4 linked regions of the Rattus norvegicus genome follow. The protein of the gene in region 1 purifies or fractionates together with the protein of each later gene. This does not show direct contact. Links are inferred from orthologs where the notes say so. Each region holds a gene or a part of one and is shown on either strand. Other genes may lie near its edges. The genes, in order: Lmna, Hnrnpm, Kpna6 and Parp1.

Region 1 (4,849 bases):
TTTGCTTTGTTTGAGATGAGGTTGCACTATATAGCCTGGACTAACTTTGTAAGCTAGGCTAGCTAACCCAAACTTTTGGTGATCCGCCTGCCTCTGCTTCTGCCTCTGCCTCTGCCTCCTGGGTCTAGAATTACTCTCAGAGGTCAGAGGTTCCAAGGAAGGAGGCAAGGGACTAGAAGAAGGTTTCATGGGTAAGAGTGCTTTCTGCCAAGCCTGATGACTTAAATTCAATCCCTAACCCCATATTAGGTAGGAGAGAACCAAATTCCCCAAGCTATGTTCTGCCGTGAACACTGTGGCACATGTGCATGTACTCTCACACACACTTAAATAAATCTAAAGTTGGGGGGAGACAGAAAAGGGACCCCAGCATGCTGTAGAGACAGGACAGGAAATGTAGCTATCCAGGCCCATAGCTGTCCCTTTCAGACATCTGTGGTCTATCTCCGTCTCCTGTTGTCTCTAAAAAGCCACTAGGGTAGGAGGGTGGCGTCTGAGTCATCCATGCAGCTGTCTAGCTTGGACTTGAGCTTACCCATAAGCCTGGGGTGAGCCTTCCCTCACTTCCAACTGTCCCCTTCTCCCAGCTTAGATATCTAAACCTCTGGAGGAGAGGGAGGAAGAGGGAAGGAGAGAGTTGTTTTGTTCCCCCTCTCCCCTGCCTCCTCCTTGGAACTTACAACCCAGTTTGAAGAGCCTTGTGGGTGCAGTTGAGAGATCCAAGTTGAACTGTGCTAAAGATTGTCACCGGTCTCATAGTTATGCCTAACTCCAAGCCTGACCCTGAACTCTGAGCTGGAATTAAACATTAAATTGGTCACTTTTCCCCACCCCCAGCCCTGGTGGGAGGGCCCGGACAATGCCTTTCATCCTCCCCAAACTTCACTCAGGCCATTTCTCCACCTCAGTCTGAGCTCACCAGCCATACAAAGGGCAGAGCCATGAGTCTTCTGCAATGGACATAGAAGGACAGACATCCATCTAAGCTCACTTCGCCTCCACTTCACCCCACCAGCAAGGACCTAGGTGTGTATACTCACCCCAACCCCCTTCCTGGAAGCCCAGCCTCCTCGGGTAGGCTCAGTTGAGAATAGAGGCAGGTGGCTAAATATAAAAAGTCCACACATCGCCCGGCCCCTACCCCATGTGTGTACACACCACCTGGTGTCCCAGGCCTGGACAGCTGCACTGGGGGCAGAAGACACAGAGTGGCTCAGCTAGATGAACAAAAGCTCTATCTTCCACTCCCCCTGTCCCCAGATCTACTAGACAAGTTCTGCACCAGGATCTGCAAGAGCTTTGGTGGTTGACTTAAACTAGTTTAACTATAGCTTAACTAACTAGTTAACTCACTGGGACTCCTCTAACTTGCCTCATGTATTTCTTGATAAGGTATTCATATCCCTAATAGAGAAAAGACAGGTAATTCCTATTAGCTGAGAGAAAGGCTGGACCCATCTGTGCACATGACCTCCGCTCATACTTGAGAAAATGAGCTTGCCACCACCTATGGCTGGGATCTGGTAAGGAACAGAATGACCAACCACTGATAGTCAGTGGGCTCTGTCAGAAGATAATGCAAAAGGAAAAAGAGGAAGAGAAGTCTAAGCTACCAGAGCCTTAGGTATCTGCACGCATGGCCAACGCTCTTTGGCTTGGTCTACAGCATAGAAGAAAAGATCCCAGACACAGAGCCTGTGGGAGTCCCGGGAGCCAGGGCCCACACTCCCAGGCTTTGGAAAGTCCTTTTAGAAAGAAGGTGGAGTCGAGTAGGGTGGGGCAGGGTGGGGCAGGGATGGGTGAGGTGGGAGTGGCCTGAAGCTCTCTAACGGCTGGATTTCAAAAATGTCATTGTATTCCAGCAGTTTAATAAGATCAAGACATCAACAGCTTGGAGGATGGGCCAGAGTAAAGTCTGGCTTGGCTAGGAAACCGGAAGTGGCTTATTGGCTGAGGGAGGAAAGGACAGAGCTTCCAAACCTTTAAGTCACCAAACAGAGAGGGCCAGGGTTGGGGAGCCCCAGACCCAGGCATAACAGATTTTCCAGGGCCATTAGCTTCTGTGCCCAGTTTCCCTCCCCACACTCTCTTGCATTCCTAGTCGAGGCAGGCCAAGGGCTGTGGGATCTGCGGGGGAGCTTCCTCCTGTGCTTCTGGAGGGCAGAGTCTAGGAAAGGTCCCAGACATTCCCAGCTCCTAGAACCAGGAGAAGGCCTTGCGTACACAGCCATGGGAGAAAGGGGCTACGCAGCCTTGGTGACCCCTCTACAATACCACCGGACAAATGTCTGTGTGAGAGATATGTTTTAGTGGACATCATGTGTTCAGAGTCACGTTGGGCAAAATTGGCAGAGTGCCAAATCCACCAAGAAAGTTCTAATAAAACCCTTTCACCCATTCTGCTGTGTTCCGGGCCTCATTCGGGAGTTCCAAGACCTGGTAAAGCCTGTTCTGCCTTCCTCCAGCCCATCCCCCAGGCTCCAAATGGCTATAAGATCCCACCTTGACAGAGTGAGGCCCTGTAACCAAGGCTACTTGGTCTCCATGCCCCACCATTCTTTATATCCCCCCACCCTCTCACAGAGACCCTCTCCCTGCTGTGTCCTGTCATGACTATTACCCTTGGCACTGCCAGTCACCCGCGGGAGGCAGTTCCGGGGAGGGAGGGGACTAGATGGCCAGTTATGGAAGACTGCTGCTTCCCTGGTGCTGGCCGGCCAGGCCTCACTCACCGCGCCTTCAGCTCCTTGAACTCCTCACGCACTTTGCTCAGCTCCAACTGGAGGCGGGCGCGCTCCTTGGCCACAGAGTCGAGGGTCTTGCGGGCATCCCCCAGCTCGGCCTCGTAGGCCGCCTTGATGCCGGACACCTCTCGGCTGACCACCTCTTCAGACTCAGTGATGCGAAGGCGCAGCCCCGCGTTCTCCGTCTCCAGGGAGCGCACGCGATCGATGTACACGGCCAGACGGTCATTGAGCTCCTGCAGGTCCTCCTTCTCCTGCAGCCGTGTGATCCGAGTGGGCGACAGCGGGGTAGAGCTGGCCTGCGCCCCACTGCGGGTGGCGCGCCGCTGAGACGGGGTCTCCATGGCCGGCAGGGTGGCAGTGCTGCCCGCTGGGCAGGGGTCCCGAGAAGGGCGCGGGACTCGGACAGAAGGACAGAGGCTGCTCGGGGGACAGCGAGCCGGCGAAGCTCGCTCCTGGCAGGCGTGGAGATCTGGGCTGGGCGCTGGCGCACCTCGGGATCTGGGTTGGCTGGTGTTGAGGCTGAGGCAGCGTTCCCGCGAACACTGAGTCACTGACAGCCGGGCAGAGACTCTAATAGGCCCTCCTCCACAGGGGGTGGATCCACTGCTCTTAAAGGAGCCATCCTAGACCCAAAGGGGCGGAGGCAGGTATGGTGAGGAGGAGCCAGCATGCTAACCCTCAGTCTGCAGAACACCCCTTTCTGGCCTGGGGCTTCACAATGTTGGTTCCTGCCTACTCAACTCCAAGCTTTGGCCTTCTGGGGTAAAGGGCAGAGTAAAGGAATGAGAGTGGGTGGGCGAAGGGTAGTGGCGAGGGACCAGGGGAAGTAGGTGCAAAGTGAGGGAGAGAGCTAGGCATCCCCAGGGAGCCAAGGAAGCTGGGGGAGGGCTGAGGCTGCTGCCCATCAGTGACTCACCCACTTCCACCACTGGCTCCCCTTTCCTCAGTAGTAACAGTGAGTCACCTCTCCCCCACGCACAGGAGCGGCCTATCCAGGGCTGCATTTCAGTATGCCAGGAGTGGGATGGCAAAGGAACGTCTGGGTTTTTAGGTAACTAACATATTACTTTATGCCCTCAAGTTTGGGGCAAAGATCAAGGGCCTTTTTTTTTTTTTTTTTAAACCTATGCACTTCCCTTATATTTCTGGCTTTAAAACCAAACATTGGGTTTTAGATCTAAGGAATAAGCCTCAGTCCCCAAGAGAAAGCCAAGAATAGAAGCCAGAAGCTGGCCCCTCCCAATCCCCCCTCCCCTTTCATTTGGACCCAGACAGTTGGAAATGGCTGTTATAATCCCTCCCTTTCAGCCCCTTTCTTCAGTTTACTCCACCCAGCCAAGTCCAAGACTGTACTTATTTTTTTCCAGGACTGTACTTATTTTAATGGATAATTTAAAACAGATACCAGAGCTGTGCGTGCATTCAACACATGGCTAGGACACCAGGTTCCAGATTTTTGTGACTGCAAGAAGGGCCTGAAAAGAGGAATGGGGTCGGAGGGTTATTAATGCAGGGTCTCCATCTGGGTTCCATTCCTAACAGTGGGAGCACGAAGAGCAAAGCCACCCCTCCTCAGCCACTGCATGCCTTTCTAGCCAGTTATGAGTGGGCCCTGACTAGACTATCTCCCAATACAGTAACCCTGGTCCCAGGTTCTTCAGCCTCCATCAAAGACTCTTGGTCAGCTGTCTAGTCCTCTCCTGTAACCCTAGCCTAAGCTGCACTGGCCCCATCATCCCCTCCTGCAATGGAGCCTTCCCTGCTCATTCCATGGAGCACTCAGGGCACCGATTAACCTGCCAGTTCCAGAACTGGACAGGTTCTAGGTCGTGGGCTTGAGTTGGGACTCTAGGAGATTTTGTTGTTGCCATTTTGCTTTTTCAAGACGGAGTTTCTCTACGTACCCCTGGAACGCCTTTTGTAGACCAGGCCAGCCTTGAACTCAGAGATCTGCCTGCCTCTGCCTCCAGAGGACTGGGATTAAAGGTGTGTTCCACTCCACTTGGCTCTGGGAGAGTTAGTTCTGTGAGGGTGACTGGGCAGTGTGGTAAGAAGCCAGGATGCATCTAGGGGAGAGGACCTAGGACGTAGCTTCCTTTCCC
Region 2 (4,404 bases), on another chromosome or scaffold:
AAGCCCTCTCATCCTGGAAAAAAAGAAAGAAAGAAAAAAAAGAAATCTCTACTGGAGCACCAATAACAAAAGAACCAGAGAAGCCACCTGTACACCTCCACACCTGTAATCACAACACTTCAGAGACTTACAAAAAAGGGTCAGGAATTCAAGGCCAGCTTTGGGATACATACCAAGTTCTAGGATAGCTTACATTACACAAAACAAAATAAAAAATAATAACAAAGATAGGTTTGGAGATGTAGCCCAGAGATAAAACACCTGCCTATCATTTACAAGGCCCTGTGGCCAGTCCTTAGCACCAGGGAAAAAGCAAAAGTTTAAACTAAACAAACCAGATAATTAGTTAAATATAAATAAACTATGACATAGCTACGGCACAGAACTACATCAAACATAAAGAGATATATGGGAGTATGTTTTTATCTTCTGGGCCAACAACAGGAAGGATAAAAATACATTTGTATTATTTGGTGAGTAGGGCAGCACCTGAGCAGTAAGTACCAGTGAGGCTTACACTATCATTTCATGGTTTAATTATTTATGCTTATCTTATGTGCACTGGTATTTTACCTACATGTATATCTGTGTGAAGGTGTTGGAACTCTTGGAGCTGGAGTGGTGAGCTGTCATGTGGGTGCTAGGAATTGAACAGGAGTCTTCTAGAAGAACAGCCAATGCTCTTAATGCTAAGCCATCTCTCTAGCCTCTCTTTTCATGTGTTTTGAGACTTATGAATCCATTAGCTATTCAAAGAATTAAACTCCTTCAAATAACAAAACCTATAGTTCCATTTACTTCTGAATCTGAACCCTAACCAGACTGCCCTCAACATCTTCCAGTACTGTTTCTATAAATTATTTTCTTTGGCAACACTATAGCAGAGTTATTGTTTATGAAGACTAACTCCAATAGACCTTTAAAAGCTGTCTGAATCAAATATTTGTTCATTACAAATATAATACTAACCAAACACTGTATGTTATACTTTGAAAACTGGAGCTCGCAGGATACTCAATGGACTTCCTGAACATAGGAGTTAACAGTAATAGTCAACCAGAGAGGGATCTACAGAAAAAATTTCCATGAGCAAAGGCGCTCATCTCTCCGCAGACTACTAATTTAAGGGCTAGATATAGTTTTAGTAATTCTAAATTTCCCCTAACTTATTTGAACATATTACAAAGAAAGTGATCCTAGTAACTTACCATCTTGACGTGCATCGGTCTATCAAACAGCAACTGGCCATTAAACATAGCTGGTTATTACAATTAAGGCTATTTCTAACAATTGTTAAAGCATACTATATAAATCGATAAAAAGGTAACAATCCCATAGCTACCAGTCCCTCTCTGAATTCATAAGCAATTTCAACTCTTTAGGTATGAAGTTTTAGTAAAGACTTTATACTACAAAATGTTTCTGGTTAGTTAAAGCAAGCAGTTTCCTATGTGTTCAACAGGTCAAGAGTTCTACTACTTCTAAAATAGCATATTTTCTGGATAAATCATACAGTAATACTCTTCTGAGTTTAATTTCTGTAGTTATGTGTGACATGCTCCATTGTAACTTTAAAAAGATGTAACCCCAGGGCAAGCCTACAGCAGGGAGAGAGATCTCTTCAATGTCTACTCTACAACAGACAGAAGGTTCAATTCAAAAGGATATTATAAACAAATAAAAGTCCCAGTTCTTATAAATGAGTTTTCCTAAACTCTTCTGAAAAGACCATTCATAGCATGTGTCTATCCATTTGTGTTCCACTCCAGAAAATTTTCAGATTCCATAGTAATTTATTCACTCTAGTCACAGAAAAAAGTTACTTCTGCCTTATTATTATAATATACTTAGGTGCACTAATAGACGTCTAACAGTGCTGTGGGCACTGTCTGCCATGAGTAAACGCCCACAAAAGGATACATATAGCTTGCACAGCTTCAATGGACTGTTCAAAAGTCACAGTGCCTATTCCACGACTTTTCCCATCTTTATCTTCCAGAATGTCTGCTCGGACCACCACACCAGCCATACTAAATACTTCTTTCAGTTTCTTCCAGCCAACTTTATAATCCAGCTAGGTGAAAGAAGAGGGTAGAAACCTCAAGGTAAACTTTGGAGAAAAAGACATACTTTTACTATTAAGACTTGCTTGACTGACTTTACAAGAAAATTAACTTCAGTGGAATTTTTCAAATAGGATTGCAGAGCCTGGCCTTAACTCTGCTATTTATTATCTCTTCTCTTAAATGGAACAACCGAAGTCTCCTCACATTTAACAAACTTTCCCCCTCAAACTTAAAAAGCCAGCAGGATGGTGGTGGCACCTGCCTTTAATCCCAGCACTCAGAAGGCAAAGGCAGGTGGATCTGAGTTGAAGGCCAGCCAAGGCTACTCCACAGACAAATTGTCTTGAAAACCCCAAAAAGTCACTCCCTCTTTTAAGTCTGTCCAACACTCCTAAACCCACTTTGTCCTAAAAGTATTTGTCCTTGCAGAGAATAAAGATATCACCATTTACTCCAGACACAAAAACTGTAACTCTATTGTCTGTCCATTCTTCCCTATACCTAAATAAACCCCAATAAGGATGCATATACAGCTACTGCTTTTGTAAATGCCTGAAAACCTCAGTAAACAAGACCTGGGTAGGACTGAGATCAATCCTGAAGCCACAAATGCAGGGGTTACAAGAGAACAAAGTAGAAGGTCTACTTTAAAATAAAAACAAGCTATCTATCCTAAGTCTTACTTAAATTACTTGTAGAACAGTGATACAGTCAATCTAAAGTGTTTTGCACACTTTTCTAACAATGTAAAATTAAATGCATACTGTTTTCACATACTCCCATCCCTCCCTATTTTTCTATTTTAGAGAATGTTCCCATTTACTTACATTTGCTACAAATACTGTGCTTCCAAGTCTTCCAGCCTGTAATGCATGGATAATCTCATTTGGGATGTTAGGATTATTTAGGATACTGGGTGGGATATTAATCATTCCTGGGCCACCTGGTCCCATACCCATCCCACCAGTCGTAGCCATCACCTTTTGCATTGCTCTCCTTGCATGTTCACCATCAGGATCCTGAAAGAAGCACAAAGCGTTATAGCTTGAAGTAGGTTAGAATAGGCTTGCAGAAACTAGTGGAACTGCTGCCTTCACCACTACAGAGGCTCCCTTCTGCCGAGGTGCAGCTCAGCTCAGTGAAAGTTTCTGCCTGATATTCCAAAGTGCAATCCCCAGCAACAATCATTAAACAAATAAAATACAATAAAAAGGCTCTCAGTAAAGCACTGTAGCAGTGGTGGTAAAATAAAGGTCTATAGCCTTAACCCTCAAGATTGCTAAAGCAGTTCAAGGTCTGCTTGAACTCAAAGCCAGCCTACAAAGCTAAGTGAAGCCTTGTCTCAAAGTAAGTAAAAAGTTTCACGTAGGACTCTGTTACAGTCCAGTCTGACACTCCTTGCTGTGTACTCAGTAAGTCTCACTTTGGATACAACTTAGTAATGGCAGACCTTATCAAGCAGCACAGTATGCACCAGTCACTCCCATTTCCAACACCAAAGAAAAACAAGCAAACAAAACAACAAAACTGCAGAAACTAACAGTTTGAAAAGTATTTCTCAAATTAACAAGACAAAACAAACCACAGCAACCAGAAGAGTTCTAGAAGAGTAACAGTTCAGAACCAAAAGGCATAAAACTAAAAATCCAAAAACGATTTTGACTAAAATGAATAGGTAAGGGATAAAAGGATTGGCTGACCTGAGTTAAAAATTCCAGATTGAAACAAGGTCTTCAGGGGCATACAATGGTTGACTCTTACTATTAGAGTAACTTTGTAAAACTCATCAATGATTTTTCACAAAGTCTGAAATCACCATTCTATAATCCCAGGTTCCCCAACCCCTCAAGGGCACCAGTGCTAGCACTTAAGTACAGTCAATGCAGTGTATCAGCACCTAAAGAGAATTATGAAAATCTGATGCTGGCATGATTATCTTATTCTTATTTGTGTCTGTGTGTACATATGGGATATATAGCAAATGTATGTGAACATGCCTTGGAGCTGGAATTATACAGGCCGTTGTAACCTGTGTATTTCCCACTTGAGTGCTGGAAATTAATTAAATGCAGATCCTCTCTAGAAAAGCAACAAGCATCCCCAACCGCTGAGCCATCTTTCCAGCTTGACCCAATTCCTGAAGGCTGCCTCTTCAATTTACCATTAACACATAAGAACTGACTTACACCTAGCCATGTTTTCCTCTAAGTCCCAAATATGTTGTGTTCCTTCCAAAAGGAAAAGGTCTAGAAGAGTGGGTAAGGCAGCTGGAACCTGAGTTATAAATTAGCCTGGGATACACAGCAAAAAACTGTTCTCAGACATCTTAACACTGCTC
Region 3 (4,404 bases), on another chromosome or scaffold:
GACAGACAGACAGACACACACACATACACACACACACCTCAACCCAGGACACATGATTGGAGAGAACTGACTCCTGCAGGTTGTCCTCTGATTACAAACATGGTATGGCACATACATGGACATACAGACAAAAAAAGGTTTTGGATCTTAGTAATTATGTGAACCTGGCTGAGTTTCCACAGTGTATATATGCAAAGATGGGGCAGGTGCAGCTTTAAGCCACACTAATACTTTCAGCATGCAATAGGCTGGGCAGGAGGATTGCCACAGGGTTGTTACCAGCCTGGGCTACATAGCAAGACCTAGAAGAGTGTGTGTGTGTTGGGGGGGTTTTCATTTCAGAGATCTGAGAATGTGATACATTGTTTCATTATAAATCAGAGTTTAGTGCACCTCTAACTTACCCTGATACAAATTGTCACTGTGTCCAGAGACAGTTAATGAGCAGATCCATCAGAACTTGGCTTGAAACACAACGGAGTTCATAGGTGTGATGTTGGTGTGATGTCAGTGAGATGCAGGTGTGATGTCAGTGAGATGCAGGTGTGATGTCAATGAGATGCAGGTGTGATGTCGGTGAGATGCAGGTGTGATGTAGGGGAGATGCAGGTGAGATGTAGGTGTGATGCAGGTGTGAAGCAGGTGAGATGCAGGTGTGATGTAGGTGAGATGCAGGTGTGAAGCAGGTGAGATGTAGGAGAGATGCAGGTGTGATGTAGGTGAGATGCAGGTGTGAAGCAGGTGAGATGCAGGTGAGATGCAGGTGTGAAGCAGGTGAGATGCAGGTGAGATGCAGGTGTGAAGCAGGTGAGATGTAGGAGAGATGCAGGTGTGATACAGGTATGATGGCTCATGGCTATAGTATATGCCAGCATGTAGGGAACAGAGGTAAAAGCTCAAGGCCAGCCTTGGCCACAGGGTAAGACCTTAGAGAGGAAAACTGGGGAGGAGGGGTTTACTATCCTCACTCTTCCCCTTTCAGAGACGAAAGAACTTCTGGGTCAGTAAAGCCCAGTCGGTCGACCTTCACATGTGCAGCGTGCACATCGCTGCCTGCTGCCAACTACAGGATGGTGGGCAAAGACGTGTCTGGTTCGGCTTCTTTATGTGCTAGAGGTTGGCTGTTGTGAGGCAGGTGGTAGGCAGGGCTGCTCAGTCTGGAGTGACCTCTCAGTTGTGTCGTAATCTCACTTTCAGTTTGAAGCTGCCTGGGCTCTAACAAACATTGCCTCTGGAACCTCTCAGCAGACCAAAATTGTCATTGAAGCAGGAGCTGTCCCCATTTTTATAGAGCTGCTTAACTCAGACTTTGAAGATGTACAAGAACAGGTAATGCTCGAGCTTTGGTTAATGTTTCAGCGGTACTAACAGTATGATAAAAAACATAGTAATGCGTATTTGGAGGAACATGGACAAGTGAACAAGGCTTGGTGCTGCACATATGAATCGGTTAGCCTGTGATACTTACACAGAAACGGAAAGTTTCTTTTACCTGATGTGGATCAGGTCCAAGGTGGGGAGAGAGTCGAAGCTTTCCCTTCCTGCTGGAGGGACGATGGGGCTGTAGTTCAGCCTCTCTGGCTTCAGGTCTTATGGCAGCCTGTCTGTCCCACTGAGCCAGGGCCTCCTGGGGAAAAGCTCTTACAGAACACGTGCTCAGTAAGGATAATTCTAGACCCTAGAAGCTAGGGAGAGCACTTCAGTGGGTCGGGCCCTAACACTGTCCTCAACCTGATGGACCACTTTGTAGCATTGATTATAAGTAGTCACAGAAGCCACCAGGCTCTCATGACAGTCCTTTCACTCCTTTCCAGGCAGTCTGGGCTCTTGGAAACATAGCTGGAGACAGTTCAGTCTGCAGAGACTATGTCTTGAATTGTTCCATCCTTAATCCTCTGTTAACGTGAGTATCAATAGCATTAGCATCCGGGGGTGGGGTCTGTAGGTGGCTTAAGTGGCGGTACATTTTGGGGGGGGTTTACTTAATCCCTTAAGATAATAAAGCCCTAGGTCAGGCAGTGGTGGCACACACCGTAGTCCCAGCACTCAGGAGGCAGAGGCAGTCAGATTTCTGAGTTCAAGGCCACCTTGGTCTACAGAATGAGTTTAAGGATGACCAGAGTTGCACAGATAATCCTAGCCCTTGGGAAGCCAGCCCAGGCTACATAGCAAGTTTCAGACCAGCCAGGACTGAACACAATAGTCAGGGGTCTGGGTTATCCTCTAGGGTTTGATGCTAAGAGCCCTGCTTTAGGCCATCAGTGCTCAGATTATGGCTTCACTGTTTACAGACTCCTTACTAAGTCCACACGACTGACGATGACACGGAATGCAGTCTGGGCCCTGTCAAACCTCTGCCGAGGGAAGAACCCTCCTCCAGAGTTCGCAAAGGTGAGAGCTAACTAGGATTTCTTTTAAGTTTTGGGCAGACCCATGAGAGTCTCAACTCATGTACAAGTAAAAGGCAGTTGTCAGTGTAGAGGGCTATTTTTTGTACCAGGGTAGGAAAGTGAAAAGGTGGTCCTACAGGTTTGGTGACATTCCCAGGGTGTAGAATTCCATGTTGGGAAGGGGGAGCCATGATAGGCTTAGTGACAGAGCTGATGCAGTCCTCCTTACTCTGCTTCCAACAGGTCTCTCCTTGTTTGCCTGTATTGTCTCGCCTACTCTTCAGCAGCGACTCAGACTTGCTGGCAGATGCTTGCTGGGCCCTCTCTTACCTGTCTGATGGCCCCAATGAGAAGATCCAGGCAGTCATAGACTCTGGAGTCTGCCGGAGATTGGTAGAGCTTCTGATGTGAGTGGTTTCAATTCAAGAGGGTTTCCAAGGTCAAAGAGCTCTAACCAAAGTGAGGCATGGTGGTGGGACTGTAATCCCAGCACTTGGGAGACTGAGACAGGAGAATACCAAATTCAAGGATAGGGTGGGCTGCAGTATAAAGACTGTCTCACAGAACAAAGCAGAAAAGCTACCATCAGCAGATTGCTGACCCACCAAAGGTCTGCAGCTGAAGGCATGCATACAGCCAGTGTTGGTTTTCAGCAGGGCTGAACGGGATGCGCTGCCTTTCCACTGATCGCTGTTCTTCCTCTGTAGGCACAACGATTACAAAGTGGCGTCTCCTGCCTTGAGAGCTGTGGGTAATATTGTCACCGGGGATGATATCCAGACCCAGGTGAGGAAGAAGAGGGATGGGATCTTAACTCAGGTCAGCCGTGGGAGAACATAAGAGAGCTGCTTGTGGGAAAAGGTCTTCCTATGTAACTACATGGTCTAACAGAGAAAGCATGGCTTTAAGTGGTTTTAGCACTGGCAGTTTCTATATTATCACGATTCCTTCTTTTGAACAGTTAGAAACAAATCATCCAGTTGTTGCTTATGCAAAGAAAGCTAAATGGAATGGCTGACTTACTGGAATAGTGTAAGGAAATGAAGGCTGGGCCGTGGTCCTTTTGAGACACTGGAAGCTGTGGGATCACCAATACTCAGCTTCAGTGTCTGTGCTCATCACCTCATGTTGAACTCATGCTAACCTTTGGGCTGTAATCCTAGCAATTATGAGTGAGAGGCAGAAGGCTCAGCTAGTCCAGGGCCATCTTCAGTTGCATGAAACCCTATCTCAAAAAAACAAAAATACGAAAAATAATTCCTTCAAACCAGTAGCAGGGTGGGGGTGCAACTGCTGGGGAGGCTGACGTAGGAAGGAAGCAGCAGCCCAGGACTTTGAGACCCGCCTGTGCGGTACAAGGTCCTGTCTCAGAAGAGTAAGCAGTGTGGCCCTGCACACACATGGACATGGAGATGTAAGATAAAGCTGGAATGACCCACAGCCAAGGGCACTGCATGGCTCCCTGTTCCAAAGTTAGAACCCGCTGACTTCCTGCCTGCCGTCCTCAGCAGGTGTCCCCATGAGTTAGTGTGTGCTCTCCCTCCTCTGGCCGGTTATGTGTGGCTTTATTCCACTGATTGCTATAGACACTTCCTTGTAAGTGAAGTCACAACATATTAGTCCTTCACATCTTTGTGTGTTGAATTTGAATTCTTTAGTAAGGCTGAATGGTGTTCTAGTGTCTGTGCATTCTGTTTTAAAGCCTTCATCGTCTTGTAAGCGTGTATGTTGTTTCTGCTCCCTAGCTGTTGTGAATGATGCTGCTGTGCGCCCTGGTGTGCAGTCTCTGCTTCCCTTTTTTTTGGTCACATGTATGCAAAAGAGATTGGATAACATGGTGATTTATGCTAATCTGTAAGGTTAGCAGCCGTGTCGTCTTCTGTCTCTACCAGCGCTGTTCTTCCATGCTCCAGCTTCTCCCTCTCCAAGACATCGCACTTCTGTTATGTCTGTGTCAGCCATCCCAATGACTGTAACGTGCTGTCTCCTGGTTTGACTTCTGTTTCTCTATCAA
Region 4 (4,404 bases), on another chromosome or scaffold:
CAGTGGACAGCAGTTCTCAGGAGAGTGTGATGTCAATCCAAGGCAAAGGCACCTGCCCACCTAGTTACCTCACTGGGTTCTAAACCAGGAGAGACATGTGGCAATGCATTGCATGCTGGGATAGCTGGGGGAGGAGATGGTGACCAGGACTGTTTTTAACGAAATCTCATCAAACATTTGATTTTACCAATGAAGACTTGGGAGCCAGATGTCTGCTGCTCAGAGAGGCAGAGAAAGCACCTAGGTGGCCTTCCTTCTCAGCTGCGGTCCCAAAAGGAAGCTCTCCTAAACCACACCAGTTCAAAACCTGTAAACTGAACGTCCTCCCTCTCCTTTCGGTATGCCTCTCTGTCCTCCTGCCTCCCTCTTACTCTGTTTTTCCCCACTGTTCACTTCCTGTCACCTGGTTGCTTGCCTTTGACCCATGCTGACTTCATTGAGTCTTATTTACAATAAACAGAAGCTCTTGGACGGAAGGTGTGTTAGGATGAGCCACACCACAGCCACGCGACAGCGCCATGGAGCTCATTTCCTGCAGGGCCTCCTGTGTGTCCCCCACAGCATAAGGGCACTCACTGCGGACTCTCCAGATGGTACTTGCTGCTGGTTGAAGATGAGCAACTCCTTCAGGTCGTTGGTGGAGCAGGCTTTCTTCAGCTCATCTTTGATATTCCAGACCAGCTCGTTCTGAGCCTGAGGATGAGAGCCCTCAGCTGAGGTCAGTTCTTTCCAAACTGTAATTAATAGCTTTCTTACCTTACATTTAAAAAGGTTACATTCAGTCACTGATGTGTGTGCACTATCATGTTTCACAGGGCACGTTTAGAGGCCTGAGAGTGTGGGGGCTAATATTCTCCTTCCATAATGCAAAGGCTGGGTTTTTGTTGTTGTTTTTTGGGGATGGGGTGGGGTCCTCACTCTATTCTGTAACTCTGCTGTCCTGAAACTCACTATATATACCAGGCTGATTGGCCTCTAACTCTGCCCCCCAAATGTTAGGATTAAAGATGTGTATTATTACGCCTAGCCCCTAATGTAGGTTTTGTAGGTCAAACTCAGGTCACTAGGGGTCAGTGAGGGGCTGGCCACAGGGCACCTGGGACACTGTTCAAGGAGGTGGGATTCACTGTCACTGAAGCAGGGAGTATGAGCCTCTTTCTTCTGGGATACTAAAAGTCTGGGTCATACACTTTAAAAGTCCAATCAGTAACTTTTAAGGGGAGGCTGAGGTGAGTGAGACAGAATCGGACTCAGGAACCCAGGCTGGCCTGAAGTTAAGCATGTAGCCCAGGCTGCCCTCAAATTTACAGAAATTCTCTTGCCTCAGTCTTTGTTGGACTTTGGCCCGATGACCTGAGTTTGGTCCCTGGGACCCAAACTGTGGAATTGACTCCATCATGGAGGCTCACAACACCACCCTAACTTAGTCTGGGTTATCTGGATACCCTTTTCTGACCTCTTCTGGCACTAGGCAAGCATGTGGCATACAAACACACACATATAAAACAGTTTTTCACATACAATTAGATATGTATGATTGACTGAAACCTCAACTCAGGTTACTAGACTAGGTGAACAGTGTCTTCCCGGCTGTTTCTCCAGGGCTGGTCTGACCAACTCCACCCTCAGGTTTACCCCTCAGGCAAACCCCTGCACACATCAAAATAAAGCATAAATCTCTCGGGCACAGTACAGAAGCATCACCTGTCAATAAAAAAGCTGCTGGCCTATTAGCTTAGACAGGAAATAGAAAGTGGGAGTTTCAGTAGGAAGAGAGGAACTCTGGGATAGTCCAGCACAGGAAGTTAATTAGCTGATGGAGATGGTTGGATAAGCCCAAGAAGTAACTATCCACGTGGCAGGACTCAGAGTAAACGGGGCAATGACAGCTAAAGCTTTGGCCTAGGCATTTATTCATTGATAAATCAATCTCAGAGTTGCTATTTTGGGAATTTGAGCACAGATGGAAAAGCCCACAATTATAATAAAGCCAGGCAATGCTCTCAGAAAACATTTGCAAAGCAAGAAGGAGACCACTTGTAAATAAGACTGAGTCCCTTATTGCATGGGCCCTGGTATCAACCCTCAGAAAACTGTTTCAAGGCACAGAGAAGGGACTGGAAGTTCTGGGCCCCATTATCTTTCCCAATACCCACTTACAGATTTCCCTGCACACTCAAGCTCAAGCAAGAGCATAAGTGATCCCTTCTACACTGGGACTCGAAAACCCTGACTTCAATGTCTAAGTGCCCACGCTTCGATGGCGCTTTTATGCGCATCTCACTCATTCTCACGGTGACCTGCCAGGGCGGTAGGCCGGGGTGGCCCTCTCCCCTTGGGAGAGCAGGCTGGTGGGTCGTGCAACGGGCTGCACCTAAGATGGAGGGGAGTGCCGGCCCTGCCCACACCAAGGGAAGGTTTTAACTCCACTGACTGAGGCCATCACCTACCATCCCTCCTTCCCACTTCCGGTGCTGGGGCTCTCAGTACCAACACCCTTCTCACTTCTCCCCAAGGCAGGGCACACAGTGGGAGGGCAGACCCATCTGTCTTATGGCTGAGGCTAGAGACTACAGAGACAGACAGACTGAAGTAGGGAAGGAGCTGAGAGAGTGGGCCAATCCTGCTTTTATCACTGGCGATGTTGGAGAGCACATCAGCACACTTACTGAAAGGCAAATGCAAATATGTGAAAGAAAAATTAAAAAAAGAAAATCAAACAGAGGGATGACTGGAGCCACTCATGACTCAGTTAAGAGCACCGGTTGCTCCTACAGAGAACCTACATTCATTCCCAACATCCACATGGCAGCTCAGAAGTCTCTCCAGTCTTCATAGGGCTGCAGGGAGCAGACGCACGTGAGACACACAGGCAGGCAAAACACCCATACCGAGAAGGAAAAAGCAGCAGTTGAATATCACACACACACATTTAAGCAGAGGGCTCCACCCGTCAAAACCAGATCACATATGCTTATAACTGAGCCAGTAGCAAAAGCTGAAAACCACACACTCAAGCTCTGGAAAAATCACGTTCCCAAGACTGTCCAGCGCCCAACATTCTACAGGTGGTAACCGCTTCTCAGCTCCGAATAGCACAATTAACTCTAACGAGCCTTCCCTGGCCAACAGCCACCGGTTTAGTGTGGGGAATACTGCATGCGCTCCAGCCCTTTGTTGACCTTCCTTCCCAGGCGCCTGCACTGAGAACTGGCATCTGGGGACTCAGTCTCATTCTCCAACACTCATGAGTGAGCTGAAGGTGTAGAGTGCCACATGATGCCTCGACGGGACTGAAGCATCATCACCGTGTCTGTCACCCAGGGTCGAGGAAGACACGAACATTCTACATGGTTGGTCCTGGCTGCAGACCGGGCATCCAAGGCCTCATGTGCTCCATTACCCAAATAAAAATGGTCTCTATGAACAAGGACAAGCTCGGAGAAAGCAGCCATGCACACGAGAGTTTCTCCTGCTCTTGGTGAGTAGGGACAGCCGAGTGTCCTGCATGAGAAAGGACAGAGGACACACAGCCCAGGACTCACCTTGAGCGCCTTTTCCAGTTTACTACTCTCCTTGTCCTTTCCTTTTTTAGATTTCTTTTTGGCTACTTCATCTATTCCATCCACCTCGTCACATTTTCTCTTTCTGAAAGAAATACAGGACTTAGTAAGAACTCTAGAAACCGATACCAAATACCAGGTGACATGCCACAATGTCACTTTAGCCTTGTTAGCTGCTGCCCAGGCAGACGGGAGATGCTATGCCATTCAGGGCCTCTTCTGCCAATAAGGAGGGGCCTGGAGCTCATCCCAGTGTCCAGAACAGCCAGGACAGACCAAGGGCTTAGGTCACATCTCATGCTAAACCCATATGTCTCTTGCATACAAAATGACTGGGAACTGTGGCAAAGTCAAACACAACTATAAGAACTGAGTCTGGAGTGAGACAGAGCTGCTCCCCAGAACACCACGCAGGCTGAGTTCACCCTGGCACTTTCTAGAGCCACGTGCTAGGGAAGGGCAGGACTTGCAGGGCTATGGTGATAGCGAGATCAGGCACAGAGCTGAGCACGCTCCAGCTCCCCAGCATCACGTCATAGAGACACCCTGCCTGCCGCCGGCCCAGGGCATCCTCACCCTCTGGCCTGACTTGCTAATGTCACATTCCAAAGCTACTGTGCTGCTCTACAAACTTGTGTTAGGCCCACTGAGAGCGCAAGAAGCTGCCTGGTGACAGCAGCATAGGAGTTGCTTGTGAGCACAGCACGCCCATTAATAGGCTACTCTGGGAGGAGGCCCTTCCATTCTAGATGCTAATTCCATGTGTGCCCATCTGTTCCGATTCCAGGCCCTTCCCACTGTTCTTCTTTTTGTGAACAGCCATGATTCTCCTTCCCAGAGA

The links.
Region 2: the proteins of Lmna (region 1) and Hnrnpm fractionate together in Homo sapiens (co-fractionation; 3 studies listed by BioGRID, with this or other methods). This does not show direct contact. The link is inferred for Rattus norvegicus from reciprocal best matches to the Homo sapiens genes LMNA and HNRNPM.
Region 3: the proteins of Lmna (region 1) and Kpna6 purify together in Homo sapiens (affinity purification with mass spectrometry; 4 studies listed by BioGRID and IntAct, with this or other methods). This does not show direct contact. The link is inferred for Rattus norvegicus from reciprocal best matches to the Homo sapiens genes LMNA and KPNA6.
Region 4: the proteins of Lmna (region 1) and Parp1 purify together in Homo sapiens (affinity purification with western blotting; 3 studies listed by BioGRID, with this or other methods). This does not show direct contact. The link is inferred for Rattus norvegicus from reciprocal best matches to the Homo sapiens genes LMNA and PARP1.

What each region holds. Positions count from the first base shown.
Region 1 is NC_086020.1:176,254,945-176,259,793, forward strand, and holds the start of Lmna (prelamin-A/C), read right to left. Parts: upstream 3,292-4,849; 5' UTR 3,089-3,291; coding exon 2,733-3,088; intron 1-2,732.
Region 2 is NC_086025.1:15,158,149-15,162,552, forward strand, and holds part of Hnrnpm (heterogeneous nuclear ribonucleoprotein M), read right to left. Parts: intron 3,086-4,404; coding exon 2,894-3,085; intron 2,075-2,893; coding exon 1,921-2,074; intron 1,259-1,920; coding exon 1,209-1,258; intron 14-1,208; coding exon 1-13. UniProt on the Homo sapiens protein: Pre-mRNA binding protein in vivo, binds avidly to poly(G) and poly(U) RNA homopolymers in vitro. Involved in splicing.
Region 3 is NC_086023.1:147,280,414-147,284,817, reverse strand, and holds part of Kpna6 (importin subunit alpha-7), read left to right. Parts: intron 1-1,197; coding exon 1,198-1,329; intron 1,330-1,814; coding exon 1,815-1,903; intron 1,904-2,291; coding exon 2,292-2,391; intron 2,392-2,633; coding exon 2,634-2,797; intron 2,798-3,097; coding exon 3,098-3,176; intron 3,177-4,404. UniProt on the Homo sapiens protein: Functions in nuclear protein import as an adapter protein for nuclear receptor KPNB1. Binds specifically and directly to substrates containing either a simple or bipartite NLS motif.
Region 4 is NC_086031.1:94,849,095-94,853,498, reverse strand, and holds part of Parp1 (poly [ADP-ribose] polymerase 1), read right to left. Parts: intron 3,649-4,404; coding exon 3,546-3,648; intron 694-3,545; coding exon 577-693; intron 1-576. UniProt on the Homo sapiens protein: Poly-ADP-ribosyltransferase that mediates poly-ADP-ribosylation of proteins and plays a key role in DNA repair.